Lonchura striata: one gene and its partner. The protein of the gene in region 1 binds, or shares a complex with, the protein of each later gene. Links are inferred from orthologs where the notes say so. Each region holds a gene or a part of one and is shown on either strand. Other genes may lie near its edges. The genes, in order: RIPK2 and NGFR.

What was found.
Region 2: the proteins of RIPK2 (region 1) and NGFR are in contact, whole or in part, in an NMR structure (PDB 2N83), measured with the Homo sapiens proteins. The link is inferred for Lonchura striata from reciprocal best matches to the Homo sapiens genes RIPK2 and NGFR. Residues at the interface, in NP_003812.1 of Homo sapiens: Gln437, Ser465, Arg466, Asp467, Leu468, Met470, Glu472, Asp495, Ile496, Gln497, Gly498, Glu499, Glu500, Lys503, Ile523, Leu524, Val526, Ser527, Arg528, Ser529, Pro530, Ser531, Leu532, Asn533, Leu534, Gln536; in NP_002498.1 of Homo sapiens: Gly334, Leu335, Ser338, Leu339, Pro340, Lys343, Val347, Ser354, Ala355, Asp357, Arg360, His361, Gly364, Glu365, Tyr368, Pro370, Ile373, Asp374, Leu398, Asp399, Leu401, Leu402, Arg406, Arg407, Ile408, Gln409, Arg410, Ala411, Asp412, Val414.

What each region holds. Positions count from the first base shown.
Region 1 is NC_134603.1:26,087,566-26,095,064, reverse strand, and holds the start of RIPK2 (receptor-interacting serine/threonine-protein kinase 2), read left to right. Parts: upstream 1-4,405; 5' UTR 4,406-4,577; coding exon 4,578-4,768; intron 4,769-7,499.
Region 2 is NC_134627.1:7,916,551-7,924,758, reverse strand, and holds the start of NGFR (tumor necrosis factor receptor superfamily member 16), read left to right. Parts: upstream 1-5,070; 5' UTR 5,071-5,126; coding exon 5,127-5,168; intron 5,169-8,208. UniProt on the Homo sapiens protein: Low affinity receptor which can bind to NGF, BDNF, NTF3, and NTF4. Forms a heterodimeric receptor with SORCS2 that binds the precursor forms of NGF, BDNF and NTF3 with high affinity, and has much lower affinity for mature NGF and BDNF.

The DNA of each region.
Region 1 (7,499 bases):
TTTGATTTTATTTCCCCTGTAACTACATGCTTTTATAAAAAGTTCCTCTCCATTTTTCTTGTACAGTCCTTTCAGGCACTGGAAGGCTGCAAATAGCAAAAAAGCCTTCTCTTTTCCAGGATAAACAAACCCAATTCCCTCACCTTTCCTTGTGTGAGAGATGCTCCATCCTTCTGATCATCTTGCTGTCCTCCCTCCCCTCTCCTGACCTGTTGGCTTTGCATCAAATCTGCTGCACTTGTTTAATAGTTTAAATTTTGAAAGAGAAAATAAAAGGGGGAGAAAAAACTTGTTCTAATTCACTGCTGAAAGAAATTTTTTCAGCTTTCAGCTGAACTAATTTTATGGGAAACACCAAGAACAGCAGCATTTTAGACTGAAAATCAAAATAAATGTTAAAACCTAGGAGTACGGGGAATGGGGATGCTGAAGTATTTTGAGGAAATACCCAGCATAAAAAATGCATGTAGACTAATCCTGAATGCAGCAGACCACTGAACACCTAATACTACCCATGCCTGTAAAGTTGGAGGTGTCACGGAATCCTCCTAGACCTGGCAGTCATCTTCCAACAGGAGATAATTCTGTAAGAATTCTATTAGAATAATCCTTTTTGGCTCCTGAGAAATACTGCTCTCCCAATAATCTCTGTGGTTAAGGAATTAGAGCTAGGAACTACTCTTAACAGGCATTTCTGATGCAGATTCTGTTTCAGATGGATGACAGTCATCCCATGCTAGTCATCCTTGTTTCTAAAAAATGATCAAACACATTTTTATTGGATTCAGCACCTAGGATGGACCTGGCCCCTGAGAATCCACATGCTAAGAAAGGTACAGAAGAGTACCACAGTGTTATTTTGTCTAAGGAGAATCTTTCAAAATCATCCCCTCTTTTCTTTCCTCCTCTGTCAAACTTTTGCCTCTGCCACTTCCACACTGAAAGCTTCACTGGAGGCTAAGATGAGAACCATCTTCATAAAGTTGCTCAGGTCTCACAAGCAAGTGGAGAAAAGAGGAAGCTCAGTGAAAATAGCAAATAAACATTGAAATGGTTCAAGTGTGAGGTGGCTTTGTCAAACTGCTAGGCCTGAAAAGAGCACTAGAGTTTATCCTGGTATTACACTCATGATGTGTCATCACCACATGGCCACCAACATTAGCACAACATAGAAATAAAAATCCAGGTGACTCAGAAGCATCAAAACCCAAGCACTCCCTCCCTCCCTCCTTCCCTCCAAACTGCCAGAAAAGTTCTCAGCAGCTCTGCTCCTCGATTCAGTCAGATGGGTAGTGTCAACATGTTGTAATAGCTGGATACAAGTACTTTCATGCAGCTCTCTTAATATAAAATTGTGTCAACAGACATCTAAAACCATAGGCAACAACTTCCAAAAGAGCTCAGATGCTCAGGAACAGCCCACCTAGAGTGTGGCACATGCTGATAAAGAAGGGTTGGTTGAGGCTGGCAGGAGAATACACAGAGGATTTCAAAGGCTGATGGTTTCCATGGTTGTGGTACTCATTACTAATAGATCTGAGCAAGTGTATCATTACATTGCTAGCGTGACAGCAAGCAAAACAGGATCTCAGCCAGAATCTAACCACCTCGTGCATTATTTCAGAAAAAAAAATACTTGCTTCAGCAAGACCAAACACAACTGAAGAGGTTACTACCAAAGTCCTTCATTCCTGCAATGTGGATAGTACAAAATATTCAGGCAAAATATTCCTTTTAAAAATGTTATTATAACCAAAACTCCATTTTTATGTAAAATTTGAAAAATCCACAAAATAAAAAGCAGGGACAAAGGCATTGTGATTACTGAATGAAAACTCATTTTCTAAAACAGGGTCTTTTATGCACCCATATTTTTCAGACTATTTAGTAGGTAACAGGGTCTGTCTGTCATGTTTAAGTCGAACAGCAAAAATATAATAAGGTTGTTTGAGGTATAAAATCATCATCATACAACCATAGCTTCTTTCAATCTGAACATCTTATCTCGACAACAAAGAGATTCTTGCCATTATGGAAACACAGTCAATCTGGTGAATTGCAAAAAAACCACAACTAGATGTGGTGCTTATCCATAAAATATCCATAAAAATGAAGGCACTATAATTTTTTGGTGGAGGAACAAGATTGTAACAAACTGGAAAAAAAAAGTCTTTTACATGCAGGTAGTGTGAATTTTTAAAAACATACACATGACTATAAAAGGATGCATGTGTATCTATGTATAAGAGGCCTGGTTTTCAGGTGGAGATGCACAGGGAGAGATATGTATTTTATACCCTCTCCTCAACATCAGTGTGAATACCTGTTTAGAGTAGAAATGTGAAAGCTCTTTCCAGACTAAGCTGCTCACAGGGAAGAATGTCAAAAAGCAAATATCACCTCAGTCTGGAAAGTCTGTTTAATTTCAGCTGTTATTTTACTTGATCTTTTGCAGAGATACAAAGAATGGAAAGTGTTTTACAAGTCAGCATCACGATGTATTGATCACATAGTAACTAGCTGCCCTCCTAGATTTCACAAGCTGAAGGAAGACTAAGCCCCTCACCATAGCTTTCACCCTTTCAGAACCATTTTTTTCCAGTTTAAATTCAAGCAAATTACAGTTATGATAACACTAATCAAACCACTATGAATACCATATACAGAAAAAGTATCCTCTTTGCTGTGGACTTTGCTTACTTCATTATCAGTGGGGATATTCAGGAAATTTCCATGTGAAAGGACAAATCAGATCCAACACTTAAAAATGAAAAGGACTATGTGGGAAATCTCACAAGTTTAAATTTCAAAGAAATAAGCCACAGGCAGCTATTTATCTGCCACATGCTATAAATACTGTATCTATAATTTAGAAACAGTATTTAACAAAAACTTTAGTTTTTTCAAAAGTTTAATCTACCTTAGGACCTCAGCCTCGCCCCCAAGCTGCCATTAGGGTTGGGGTTAGGGTTTGGGGTGTCACAAGGACTACAGCTCCAGGAAAAGTGTAGCTGGAATAGGCATGACAAGAGAAGCATGGCACTGCTCCAACAGTGCTGCCTCCACATCCACTTTTAGAATTACAATAATTTTCCTGGGGTTTAAGTCAGTGTACTTAACACTATAAATGTACATTAAATCAACACAGCACACAGTAACAAGATGCACAAATAAATCTAAAGTATAGGGACATTTTATTGGCAAAGACTGTAAGTATGTATTTACACAGTGGTTTTATAATGCAAGCTCATGGTAATTGTACTTGGCATATAATTTTCTTTTGGAAACAAAATCTTCCTTATACACCAAATTTAGAATTGTATGACTAATGGTACTAATGGTTAATATAGAGAGGGATATGCATAAACAGATACCCAAAACTTGTATATTGGAAACATTGCCGCAAGAGTACAGTTTTGGGAAACCACCTAGTGTGTCTATAGGACATGGACTAAATGAAAACTGAAAGTAGAGTAAGTCACTGATTGCTTTACATGATTCATAATGCTGAAGCATTTGGAGGATACAAATCATCCAAAATACAAGAAAATTGTAAAAGTCATAAAGGTAAAGTGCTAGGACCTAGACAGGACTGAAAAGTTGTTGCCATGTCTTAAAATGAATGCTGTGAAATATTGGACATATTATAGCTTGAAAACATAGGTATTTTCCCTCATTCTCTGGTCCATATCCATGAGTGGGAGAAAAGAGAGGTGAAAAGCCACAGGCGTTTAGCCCATCATCCACACACATGGAAAGGCGAGTTGTTCTATTTACATTTATTTCATCCTGTGGAACTGTCACTCCTTGTGGAAAGCTACAAATCTATACCTTTAAGTTAAATTACTTTGCTAGTCTGTGAAAACTTGGCTTGGTGAACAGGCATTACAAAAGCTTACTGAGCAACCTTAAAGCTCTCATAAATACATCCGTGTATCAGGCAGCTCTCTATTACTATTGGCAAGGGTGAACTTGCACTTACTGGAAATTGCGAAACGATCTTTTTGAAATACTGTTATCCTGAAAAATCTTCCTAGGACAAGCGCGGAGGAGATAAGCGACTGAGACAAAGCTTTTCTCACTTCTCTTGAGCAATGAGTACACACCGGATGGGGCTCTGTGGAAGTCTAGTGGAAGGTGTGTCCTGTCCTGGCAGAGTTGCGACTAGATAATCTTTAAGGTGCCGTCCAACCCACATCAATCTGTGATTTTATGCAGCGAACAGTTCACAGCGGCGATCTGCGCTCGGCTCTAGCATCCCGCATCATTTTCCGAGCGCAGAGCCCACCCGCGCCCCGGCGGCTCCCCGGGGTCGGGGGGACGCTCCGTGCGCGGCTCCCGCAGGGCGAGGCCGCGCCAGCGCCGCGCTCCGGCGCGCTCCTCCCACCCCGCTGCTCCGCCTTCCCCGACCCGCGAGCCGTGGGACGCTTTTTCCGCGAGGAAGTGCCTCGTCGGTGGGGCAGAGGAGAGAAGCGCTGGCCAACTGGAGAGCAGGCGGGGCAGGGAGGTGCGGCGAAGGCAGGACGGGGCCGGAGGAGCGGCGCTCCGGGCCCCGCTGAGCCCGGCGGAGTGCGAGCATGAGCGGCGGGGATGGCGGTGGGGGCCGGGCGGGCGCCCTCAGCTGCGGCCTCCTCTCCATCCCCTCCAGCAAACTCCCGGACTTGCGATTTATCAGCCGGGGCGCTTACGGGACCGTGTCCGCCGCCCGGCACGCCGACTGGAGGGTCCCGGTGGCCCTGAAATGCCTGCAGGGGCCGCTGCTAGACAGGTAACGGGGCAGGGCCGGCCCGAGCCCGCCCGGCCCTAACCCAGCCCCGGGACGGGCCGGGGCCGCCGGCCTGAGGGCTGTGGGTCAGGTCCTGCTGCTTCCGTAGCCAGCCTTGCTTTAATTCCGCGGGGAAAGGGGATCCCACCAGGATGATTCAGCTTGGGCCAAGAGAAAGCGCGGACCGGCCCTGGAGCTTCCTCTCTTTCGATTATTGTAAAAGAGTGGTTTCGGTCTCGGTCTCTGAGACACTAAGCTGTTTCTTTTGGAGTTTTTTTCTTCTGCACTGTGAACCTTGAGCCCGCCTCGTGGTGGGATTGACAGAGTTTAGTTCTTGCTGGGTCTGTTGGCTGCTAACCATTTTGCTGAGGTATTCGCAGGATATTAAACTACAGTGATTACTGTAGATTTGGTGTTTACATAGAGAAAAGAATATCGGGAGTATACTGTTCTATTCACTAGAGATTGCATCTAGAAGAAGCTTCTCTGAGACCATGCAAAATTACTATTTTTCCCCAGATCTCACAGTACTGAGAGAAGCTGATTTAAAATAATAGGCTTGTAGACTCCCCTGTAAAACTGGTATTTTCCGTGTAACAATTGGGTTCCCTGTTTTCCAGGCACCCAAGTGGCAGCATATTTATTACAGGAGCTATCATTCCATGTAAGGCGACATCAAGTTTTACTTTTTCATCACTGTCTTATTCAATCCCCATAGTTCCAATTTGTTAACATATCAATGCAAACTTGTCTCTTCTTAGGTTGTTTGAAACCTGCCTGACTGTAAACCTGCCTATGAGTCTTATCTTGCTGTCTTCAAGCTTTTGCCTCAGGTCTCTTTGATCTAGTACTAGACCTTTAGGTAGGATAGCTTCACCCAGAAAGGCTTCTAGTCTTGTGACTCAATATACTCAAATATAAGACAAGTTGTTTTAAGCTCTTTCACCTCTTATTGCCCAGGTTTGTGTATACACGGGCGTTATCACTGAAATCTAGCCAGAAATGGAATCTCAGTTATGTTGTGTTTTTTGATAAGCTGGGGGAGGGAGGGGACGGGCGGGTGTTGTGGAGGATTTTTTGTTTTGGATTTTTTTTTAATGTGTGCTTAAATCCCAGCTAATTGGAAATACAGCATTTATCCTCAGAACACAGCTGAGAGAAACCAACCAAGGCTATTTTTAGACTTGTAAGAATTTGGATTAGTGGGATATTAACCTGTGAAATTATGATTAGAAGGGCAAGTGAGGTAATCCAAATAATTCAGTCACCCACCATGATGCCTTAGGTTTTAGCTTTTATATTTCTCAGATTCTGGACTGCTTTAGGATGTACTTCTGAGCTTCATATTAAGGGATAGTAAGCTCTCTTCACAGAGTAGGTAGGCAAAACAGTTCCATTCCTAGCTTGGAACCAAGGACAACCACCCAAATTTCAGGCCCAAGAGTATAAACAACATGGATTGAAGGGAGAAAAACAAGAAGAATCAGACTTCATAACCTAAAGCTATAATTGGACAATTAACTCCAATATGTTAATGGACCAGAACTTATAAGTGAGAGACCTCGTGACTGGTTGTGCGTTTTGTGACCATTTTGGCTTCATCTTGGGTGTAGCCTTGGCTGGGTTGTTGTACCGCCTAAGGTGTATCCATTGAGGCCTCCTAATAAATGCTTACTTTATTCTTTAACTCTGCCTAGCCTAGGTAGGCTTAATTAAGGTCAGCCTTAATAAGGCATCACCATATATCATGCAAAGCCTAGAAATGCTGTAAGAAAACTCAAAGGTGCAAAAAAAAATCCATTATACCCGAGTCTCAGCAGCAAGTGCTTTGCTGATTGTACAGTAGGCAATATGAAATGCCAGCCTGTAAGTGTTGTCAGGAATAGGGATGAATTCTTGATGCCATTCATTCCCCAAGTGAGAAGCATGTGCTGTGCATCCCAGAATATGGTATGTGACCAGGCAAAGAGCAAAGCCAGTTGGGAAGCTGTTGTGGGAATGTGCTCATTTAGGTATTACTCAGTGCCCTTCTGGCATGGAGCAGACAAAGGTGAAGTGACTGACAGGCACAGGAATAGACTGCAGTATGTCGCAATTTGTTTCCCAGCTACAGCTAAATCCCATGCTAATGTGCCTTACTGTCTGGGAAAACCCCAAACTTTCTCAAACCTACTCATTCTGAAGAGAGGGAGGAAGGTGTAGAGTTGTCTCTTCCATCCCATGCTTGTATCAAAGGCTGTCTTTTTACTTCTGTCATTTCCTATAAATCTTTTTCCATCACACAGATAAAAGGACCTTAATTTTATATCCATCTAAATTCAAAATTGCCTGCTGCGAAGAGCTGCAGGCTTTAGTTCACTCTTTTCCCATATAGCCTGACAGCCTTTTCTTTGTGAGTGCTAAGACCACCTTGTTGGATCCAGACTGCCCTGAGTGCTTTGGGGTGTGCCCTGAGCTCAGTGGGCACAAGCCAGCTCTCACCCTGGAGCTGCCCTGTGCACATAACACAGCGCTGTGCTGAACCAGTCATGGTGGGCATAGCCCTGGCCCCAGCACAGCCCTATTGCTTCTGAGTCAGACTGGCTCACATCCAAAGGATCAATGTGCTGTAAATGTCCTGTATTTGAATATCCTAGTCATGTACTTGTACCAATCTCCACTAAGATCTAAAAGCTTTTTTTGCTGAATTATGTTTCATGATCCAACTATCCTCATTGGCAACAAACCCATTTTT
Region 2 (8,208 bases), on another chromosome or scaffold:
GATCCCTCTTTAAACCCCCCCAGGCACCCCTGGGTGCTCCCAGGAGCTTCTCCCTGCTCCAGGCCCTCCTCCCCTCGGCCGCTTTCCCCGTGGCTGTCACGTCCCGGCCCTCATTAAATCCCTGCTACAATCGGATAAAATCGCTTTTACCCAATTTCCTCCTGGCTGTTTGCTGGCTCGGAGAATTCCAGCGGGGCCGAGACAGCGCTGCCCGTCCCAATGCGATTATCCCGGCCCGATCGATCGATCCCGGCTGCCCGGCCCTTGGCAAACTCGCGCCCGGCTCCCGGAGCGGCCGAACCCTCCCCGGGCTCCTCCCTGCACCGATCCCCACCGGGAACCCGGGAATGAAAATAAAACCAGCAGCGGGAATGAAAATAAAACCAGCAGCGGGGTCATTGAGCTGGGCAGGGAGCGGCCCCAGGATCCCTCTGGATGTGCCGGGACACGGGGCCGGGGCCGGGCTCCGCTCCCGCAGGTGCTCGCGGCTCATTTGCATAAGGGATGAAGGCAGCAATTAAATTCCCTCATCATCTCGGCGGGCTGGGAAAAGAGCTCCCCCCGCTCCTGCGTCTGTCACTGCTGGGAAGAGGCTCTGGAGAGGCGAAATTCCCACCCGGAGGTGAAATTCCCACCCGGAGGTGAAATTCCCACCCGGAGGTGAAAATCCCACCCCCGCTTCCACAGGGGAAACTGAGGCACTGCTGAGCGGGCAGGCAATGGAGAACATCCCGGCCTGGAGTGGGCTGGGAGGAGCCCAAAAATCCACTGGATCTCCTCCGGGCTGCACAGTGGGATTAGAGGGTTGTTTTAGGGCCCTTCCAGTGGTAATATTCTATTCTATTCTATTCTATTCTATTCTATTCTATTCTATTCTATTCTATTCTATTCTATTCATCTCTATTCATCTCTATTCATCTCTATTCATCTCTATTCTATTCATCTCTATTCTATTTACCTCTATTTTATTTCTAGTTCATGTCTATTTTATTTCTATTTTTTCTATATTTTTTCTCTTTTTTCCTATTTTATTTCTAATTTATTTCTATTTCATCTTTATTTCATCTCTATTCCGTTCTACTCATCCCTCTTCCATTCTACCTTTATCTCCTTCTACTCCAGCCGAGCACCGAGTCAATTAAAACAAATCCCCACCCCCAAACGAAAACCAAACGCAGCGAAAAGCGCAGCCCTGAGCCGAGGAAGATAAAAAATCTCTCGGCCGGCTCGTCCCCGCTGACACTCCGCTGCCGGCAGCGGAATTCCCGATCCATCAGCACCAACCCCGGGATCAATGGGCCCCAAAGCCGGCCCGGGGAGGAGGAGCGGCCCCGGCGCGGGGGGATCGATCGATCATCGATATCGCCGCTGCCGCTGCCGGGCGTGGCCCGTGCCTCCTCCTGCCCGTCCCCCGCCGCCGGGATTTTCTCCCCGGGGCTGCCCGGGCCCCGCTTTCTCTCCGGGCTTTGTTTTTGCCAGCCCGGCTCGGCTTTCCCGGCCGCTCCTCCAGGCCGGCCTTATAAGGGCCCGCGGAGCAGGGAGAGATTCATGCCCAGTCCCCCCTGCTGCCGGCAGGGTGATGGATCGCGCTGCGAAACACGGGAAGAAAGGGAAAAAGGGAAGGGGGGAGGCCGGGAGCTGCCGGAGCGGGGCAGGGACGGGGATGGAGGCAGGAACCGCCGGCCTGGAAAGCGGGAGACAATCCCAAAGGAGAGCGGGACCCCCGAGGGCACGGGAGCCGCGTTTGGGGGGCTTGGGGAGCGCTGGGGAGCTCGGGGCTTTGGGGTGACACCCCCATCCCTGTGGGAATGACAGCCCCGTTTCCATGGGAAAAATAGTCCCATTTCCATGGAATAACTGACCCCATCCCTGTGGGAATGACAGCCCCATTTCCATGGGAATAACAGCCCCATTTCCATGGAATAACTGACCCCATCCCTGTGGGAATGACAGACCCATTTCCATGGAATAACTGACCCCATCCCTGTGGGAATAACAGCCCCATTTCCATGGGATTACTGACCCCATCCCTGTGGGACTAACAGCCCCATTTCCATGGGAATAACCGACCCCATCCTATAGGAATAACAGCCCCATTTCCATGGAATAACTCACCCCATCCCTGTGGGAATAACAGCCCCATTTCTATGGGAAAAACAGCCCCATTTCCATGGAATAACTGACCCCATTGCTGTAGGAATGACAGCCCCATTTCCATGGGAATAACAGCCCCATTTCCATGGAATAACTGACCCCATCCTATAGGAATAACAGCCCCATTTCCATGGGATTACTGACCCTATGGGGAATAACAGCCCCATTTCCATGGGAATAACTCACCCCATCCTATAGGAATAACAGCCCCATTTCCAGGGAATAACTGGGCCCCACTTCCATGAAAAACTGGGCCCCATTTCCATGGAATAACTGGCCCCGTTCCTACAGGAATAACTTCCGAGCTGTGTTATTAATTCATCCTCATTTCTGTCTCGCCCTCACCGCAGAATCGGCTGTGTCGGGAAGGGAATTTCACCCGGTTTGGAGTAAAAGCCGTAAAACCTCCGCAGGCCCCGAGTGTTTAAGCCGGGCTCGCTCTGGGGGCTCTTTCGGAGCCCCCCGGCGTGGAGGGAGAGGGGAAACATCCCCTGGAGCCCCCCGGGCGATCTGGAGGAGCCCGAAGGGAGATAACGAGGGGGTGAAAGCGCTGCGGGGCCGGGAGGGGCTGCACGCGATGTTTCACCCAGTTCTAATTGCCCTTTCGCTAATTAATCCCGCCCTTTCCGCGCTCCCTCCAGCATGGGAGCCTCTGCATGCGTGACCCCGTCAGCCTGAGGGGAGCTCGGGAGCCGCCGGGGAAATCCTGTAAAATCCATGGAAGGATTTTTTTGTGATTAAAAGCGGGGCCGAGCCCTCCCTGAGCTGCTCCCAGTGCACAGACCCAGCCCTGGCACCGCCCCGCCGTGCCCTGCTGGCACCGGGAGCCGATTTTGGGTCCCCCCCGATGGCCACGAGGCTTTTGGGGACAGTGATCAGCCCCACCCCAGAGCCAGTGGCAGGTGGGTGGATTTTGGGGCGGCTTTAGGGGTTGCAAGAGTTCAATTTCCCCCCCCACAAAAAAACCCCGGAGCCTTTGGGTTTAATTCCAGGAGGTGACACCAGAACTTCGGGAGGTTCTTTGTCACTCACGGAGCCGGGAAAGCGCCACAGCTGTTTTGGGGACGGGAAAAAGGAGGCGCGTGTGATCCGGTGAAGAATTCCGCGAGTCCCTTCTCCAGAGGAGCCGCGGGGGCTGGGATGGGAGCGGGAATTTTCCCTCCCAGCCCGGCGCAGATGGAGCCCGGCTGGGCGGGACGGGCTCTGCCAGGGCTGCGGCTTTTCCCGGGATGCTCCCCAGACTCCCACCGGGACACGGCGGCGGCGGGGACGGGGCTCGGGGACCGCGGGCCACGAGCTCGGTGTCCCCGGCACGGGCAGGACGAGGAGGAGGAGGAGGGGGAGGAGGGATTTATCCAAGGGCCCGAGGAGAACATCTGGATTTGCCACTTGCTGCGGTGAATTAATTGCGGGATCCCGCGGCTGCTCCCTGCTGTGCCAGCCCTGCCTCGCGTCTGCTCCCGGGAATGTCCCCAAGGGTGGTGTCCCTTTGTCCCCTGCAGCCGGGGGAAGCTCGGTCACCCCTTCCCATTCCACTGGGGCTGCGGTGTCATCGGTGATCCCAGAAAAAACCCTTAAAACGCTGGGATTATGGCTGGCATCCCAATCCTGGGTGGGCATCCCAATCTTGGGTGGGCATCCCAGCCCCCGGGTGGGCATCCCAGCCCCCGGGCACCTCCCAGCCCGTTCCCACCTGGCCCCAGCGTGGCTTTTTTGGCTGCGAACGCTTCTCCATGTGGCTCGCAGATGTTCTGCCCGTGACGAGAACAAACGGCAGCTTTGGCTCGGCTTTAATCCCACGGAAAAGCTGCGAGAGAGGGAATTCCGTGAAGCCCTTCCCGGGCTGAGCCAGCGGCAGCAGCCGGCCCTGAGCACCTCGGAGGCTCCAGAATTGGCTTTTCCAGAGGAAATCCAGCGGAGTGGCGCTTTCCCACCGTGACCCGCGGGATTTCGGGGCTCCGGTGGCTGCAGGGCTGGGAACTGCTGGATTTTGGGAGCCCCAAAAGCACCTGCAGAGCCCGGAGCGGGGAGGAAACACCTGGAGCTGGACGCACACGAGGCCAAATCCGCTGTGCCGTGGCCACCGCGGCCGCAGGAGCCAGCCCGGGGCAGCGACAGCGAGGCGGGGCCGCTCCCGGTGGCACCGGTGCCCGGTGCCGCGGTTGGGTGGCCCCGCGGAGCCGTGCCCGGGGCTGACGCAGCGCTGCGGGGTGGGGAAGGAGCCCTGGCATTGCCAGCTGCGGGCACTGCGGGCCCGGCGAGGGCAGGAGGCCAGGCAGAGTCACCCTGGGGCGCCGGGACAAAGGAGGGCGGCACGCGGGGACCTTGCAGGGCCCACGGGGAGCCCAGATGGGATTTCTTTGTGTGGAGGGCAGAAATACAAAGATTTGATTCAGTCCCCGCCGCGTGCCCCCCTCGGGGGCCTCTGGGTGACACCGCCCGGCTGGGACGGGCCCGGGGTGTCCCCGGGCCGGGGATTTTGTCCCTTGTCCCCAGCAGCCGGGGCAGGTCTGGTCACCCCATCCCGCCCCTGGGGCCGCGATGGCAGCGGTGACGCCACCCCGGGGCCGGGGACAGACAGACGGACCGGGGGAGGAGGGGGTGCCGAGGGGGCTGGAGGACGGGCAGACGGCACAGGAGGCAAAGCCGTGGATGGGCTGAAGAGCCCCGGCTGGGCTGGGAGCGAGCGCGCCCCAGAAACGCTTCGTGGGCGGGCGGCGGGGCCCGGGGGGCCCGGGGGGACCGGGGGGGCCCGGGGGAACCGGGCTTTGTGTGGCGGCGGCGGAGGGTGCGGGCTCGGCCGCTCCGTGATGCTCCGGGGGCGGGGAGGAGGAGGAGGAGGAGGGGGAGGAGGAGGAGGGACTTGCAGCTCTTTTCTGGCCGCCGCCGCGGCGGAGAGCGGCAGAGCCAGGGCAGCCCGGCCGCGCTCCGGCTTCCGGGGCTGTCACCGGCCCCGCTCCGCTGCCCCCGCCATGGCCGGGCTCCTGCCGCTGCTGCTGCTCCTGCTGCCGGCGGTGAGTGCGGGGAGCGGCGCCCGGGGCAGCCCCGACAGCCCCGGCGGGGAGGGGATGCGGCGTCCCGGGGGCACCGGGAGCGTCCCCGGAGGCACCGGGGGATGGACAGCCCCGAGGCACCGGGCGGGGGTGGGATGGAGGGGCCCGGAGGCTTCACACGGGGGTGTCCGGAGGGTCCCGGGGACCCCGGGGTGGGAGCCCCGCGGGTGAGGGGCAGCGGACAGCACAGGCAGGAGCGGGGTCCCCGCCGTGCGGGGCTGGAGGATCCCGGGGGCACCGGAGAGCCCCGGGGAGGCGAGCAGAGCTCTTTGGGGTGCGGTGGGAGGGGGCGTGGGGAGCTGGGTGGGGATGGGGTCCCGCAGCCCCTCCGGTGCCGCTGCCCCGAGCTCTGCCACTGCAAAGAGTGACGGAGCCCCAGCCCGGGGGGAGCCCCCCCAGTGCCTTCATCACCTGCCCCGCACGCACCCCCCGCAACCTCTCGCAGACTTTCCCGGCTCCCAGGTGCCCCACAGCTGAGGCTGAGAGCCTTTTCCTCCCGGCAGAGCCCTCGCCGTGTGCCCCAGACAAAAAACTTCAGGGCAGGCTGGGGTGGGGGGGCCAGCAGAGAGGGGAGTGCCCGGAGTGGGGCCGGGGGGCTCCGAGCCCGCAGCTGGGGCAGGAGCGGGGCTGTTTGGGGGGCAGGATTTGCCGGGGGTCCCAGGGGGGCCGTCAGGCAGCCGGACACCCCTCGGGCAGGATATTAAAGGCGGAGTTGAGCGGCTCCGTGCAGGAGCGGAGCGGGGCTGGCAGCGCCGTGCCGGGGGGTCCTTTCCCCCACAGCCCCCCGGGATCGGGATCGGGATGGCCAAAGCGCCCCGGGATAGCGGGACAGCGGCCGGGGGGGCCCGGAGCTGTCCCAGCCAGATGGATCCCAACCATTCCCCCCCCAGGGCATCGCCCTCTCGCCCCTCCCCGGCTGCTGCAGCGGGGCCGGGCTCTGATGTCCCCAAATCGCCGCTTCCCTGCGCCGGGGTCACCGCGGGGAGCTGCTTCTGCCCTCCGGGACCGCACCTGCGGGGCTGGGAGTGTTCCTGGGGGGGGACAACAGGGACCCCGGCTGTGCTCCCCCAGCTCCGCGCACCCCGGGACCCCGCAGCCCGGGACCCCCGCAGCCCGGGACCCCGCACACCGGGACCCCCGCAGCCCGGGACCCCCGCAGCCCCCGCAGCCCGGGACCCCCGCAGCCCCCGCAGCCCGGGACCCCGCACCCCGGGACCCCCGCAGCCCCCGCAGCCCGGGACCCCCGCAGCCCCCGCAGCCCGGGACCCCGCAGCCCCCGCAGCCCGGGACCCCCGCAGCCCGGGATCCCCGCAGCCCGGGATCCCCGCAGCCCGGGACCCCCGCAGCCCCCGCAGCCCGGGACCCCGCAGCCCGGCCCGCCGCGCTCGCCGCTCGGTGCCTGCGCTGCTCGGCCCGGGAGCGGCGGAGCCTCCCAGGGCCGGCCGGAGCCGCAGCGCTCGGACGCGGCTCCCCGAGCTGCCCAAAGTTCGGGAGGCGCCGGGAGCCGGGATTTGGCCTCTCCCAGACGCGGTGCTCGGCCAAGAGAGGCAGAGCGCGCCCGCCGGGCTCGCGTCTCGCAGCCGGGCTCGTCTCCAGCTGGAGCATCCCCTCCTGGTGCCGGGCGCTCCGCGGTGCCAGACTCCGAAATCCCGCTCGGAGCGGCTCTGTCCTCCCCCGGCAGCGCCTGCCCGGGCTCCGACCCCCCCGGCACGGCTCCAAAAAGCAATTAAGAGCTTCCAGAGGTGTCGCCTGCGCCCTCCGGCCGCGGCCGGGCCGGGCCAGCTGTCAGGATGCTTTACGGCGTTAATAGCCGCGGCTTTGTCACCGGGAGCCGCGCTAACAGCGCGCGTTTCCGCAGCCTAACGCGGGCCAGGTGCCGTGCCCGGCCGGGGGGCTCGGGAAAGCCCCGGAGCGAGGGGCCCGCGGCACCTGGAGCCGGGAATTGGGAGCGCTCGGGGCGCGGGGGCGGGAGGGGACAGGACAGGTGGCCCGGGAGCGGAGCCGGTGGCCCGGCCAGGCCCGGCCCACGCGGGACCGCCCGCAGCTGCCTGCGGCGTGGGGGAGCTGGAATGGGAGACTGGGGAAGGGCTGGGATCGGGGAAGGGCTGGCATCGGGGAAGGGCTGGGATCGGGGAAGGGCTGGGATCGGGGGAAGGGCTGGGATTGGGGAAGGGCTGGGATTGGGGGAAGGTCTGGGATCGGGGAAGGGCTGGGATCGGGGAAGGGCTGGGATCGGGGAAGATCGCGGATCAGGGGAAGGTCTGGGATCGGGGAAGGGCCGGGATTGGGGAAGGGCTGGGATCGGGGAAGGGCTGGGATCGGGGAAGATCTGGGATCGGGGAAGGGCTGGGATCGGGGAAAGATCCGGGATCGGGTAGGGGCTGGGATCGGGGAAGATCTGGGACTGGGGAAGGGCTGGGATCGAGGAAAGATCTGGGATCGGCGAAGGTCTGGGACTGGGGGAAGGTCTGGGATCGGGGAAGGGCTGGGATCGGGGAAGGGCTGGGATCGGGGGAAGATCTGGGATCAGGGGAAGGTCTGGGATTGGGGAAGGTCTGGGACTGGGGGAAGGTCTGGGATTGGGAGAAGGTCTGGGATCGGGGAAGGGCTGGGATCGGGGAAGGTCTGGGATCAGGGAAAGATCTGGGATCAGGGAAAGATCTGGGATCTCTGGATGCTCTGGGATCTTTAGAAGCTTTGAGACTGGAGGAAGATCTGGGATCCCTGGAAGCTCTGGGATCCCTGGAAGCTCTGGGATCCCTGGGATCTCTGGATGCTCTGGGATCTTTGGAAGCTCTGGAATTGTGGGGTGCTCTGCGATCAGGGGATGCTCTGGGATCCCTGGAAGCTCGGGGATCCCTGGAAGCTCAGGGATCACAGGATGCTCTGGGATCTCTGGGATCCTTGGATGCTCTGGGATCCCTGGAAGCTCTGGAAGCTCTGGGATCCCTGGAAGCTCTGGGATCCCTGGAAGCTCTGGAAGCTCTGGGATCCCTGGAAG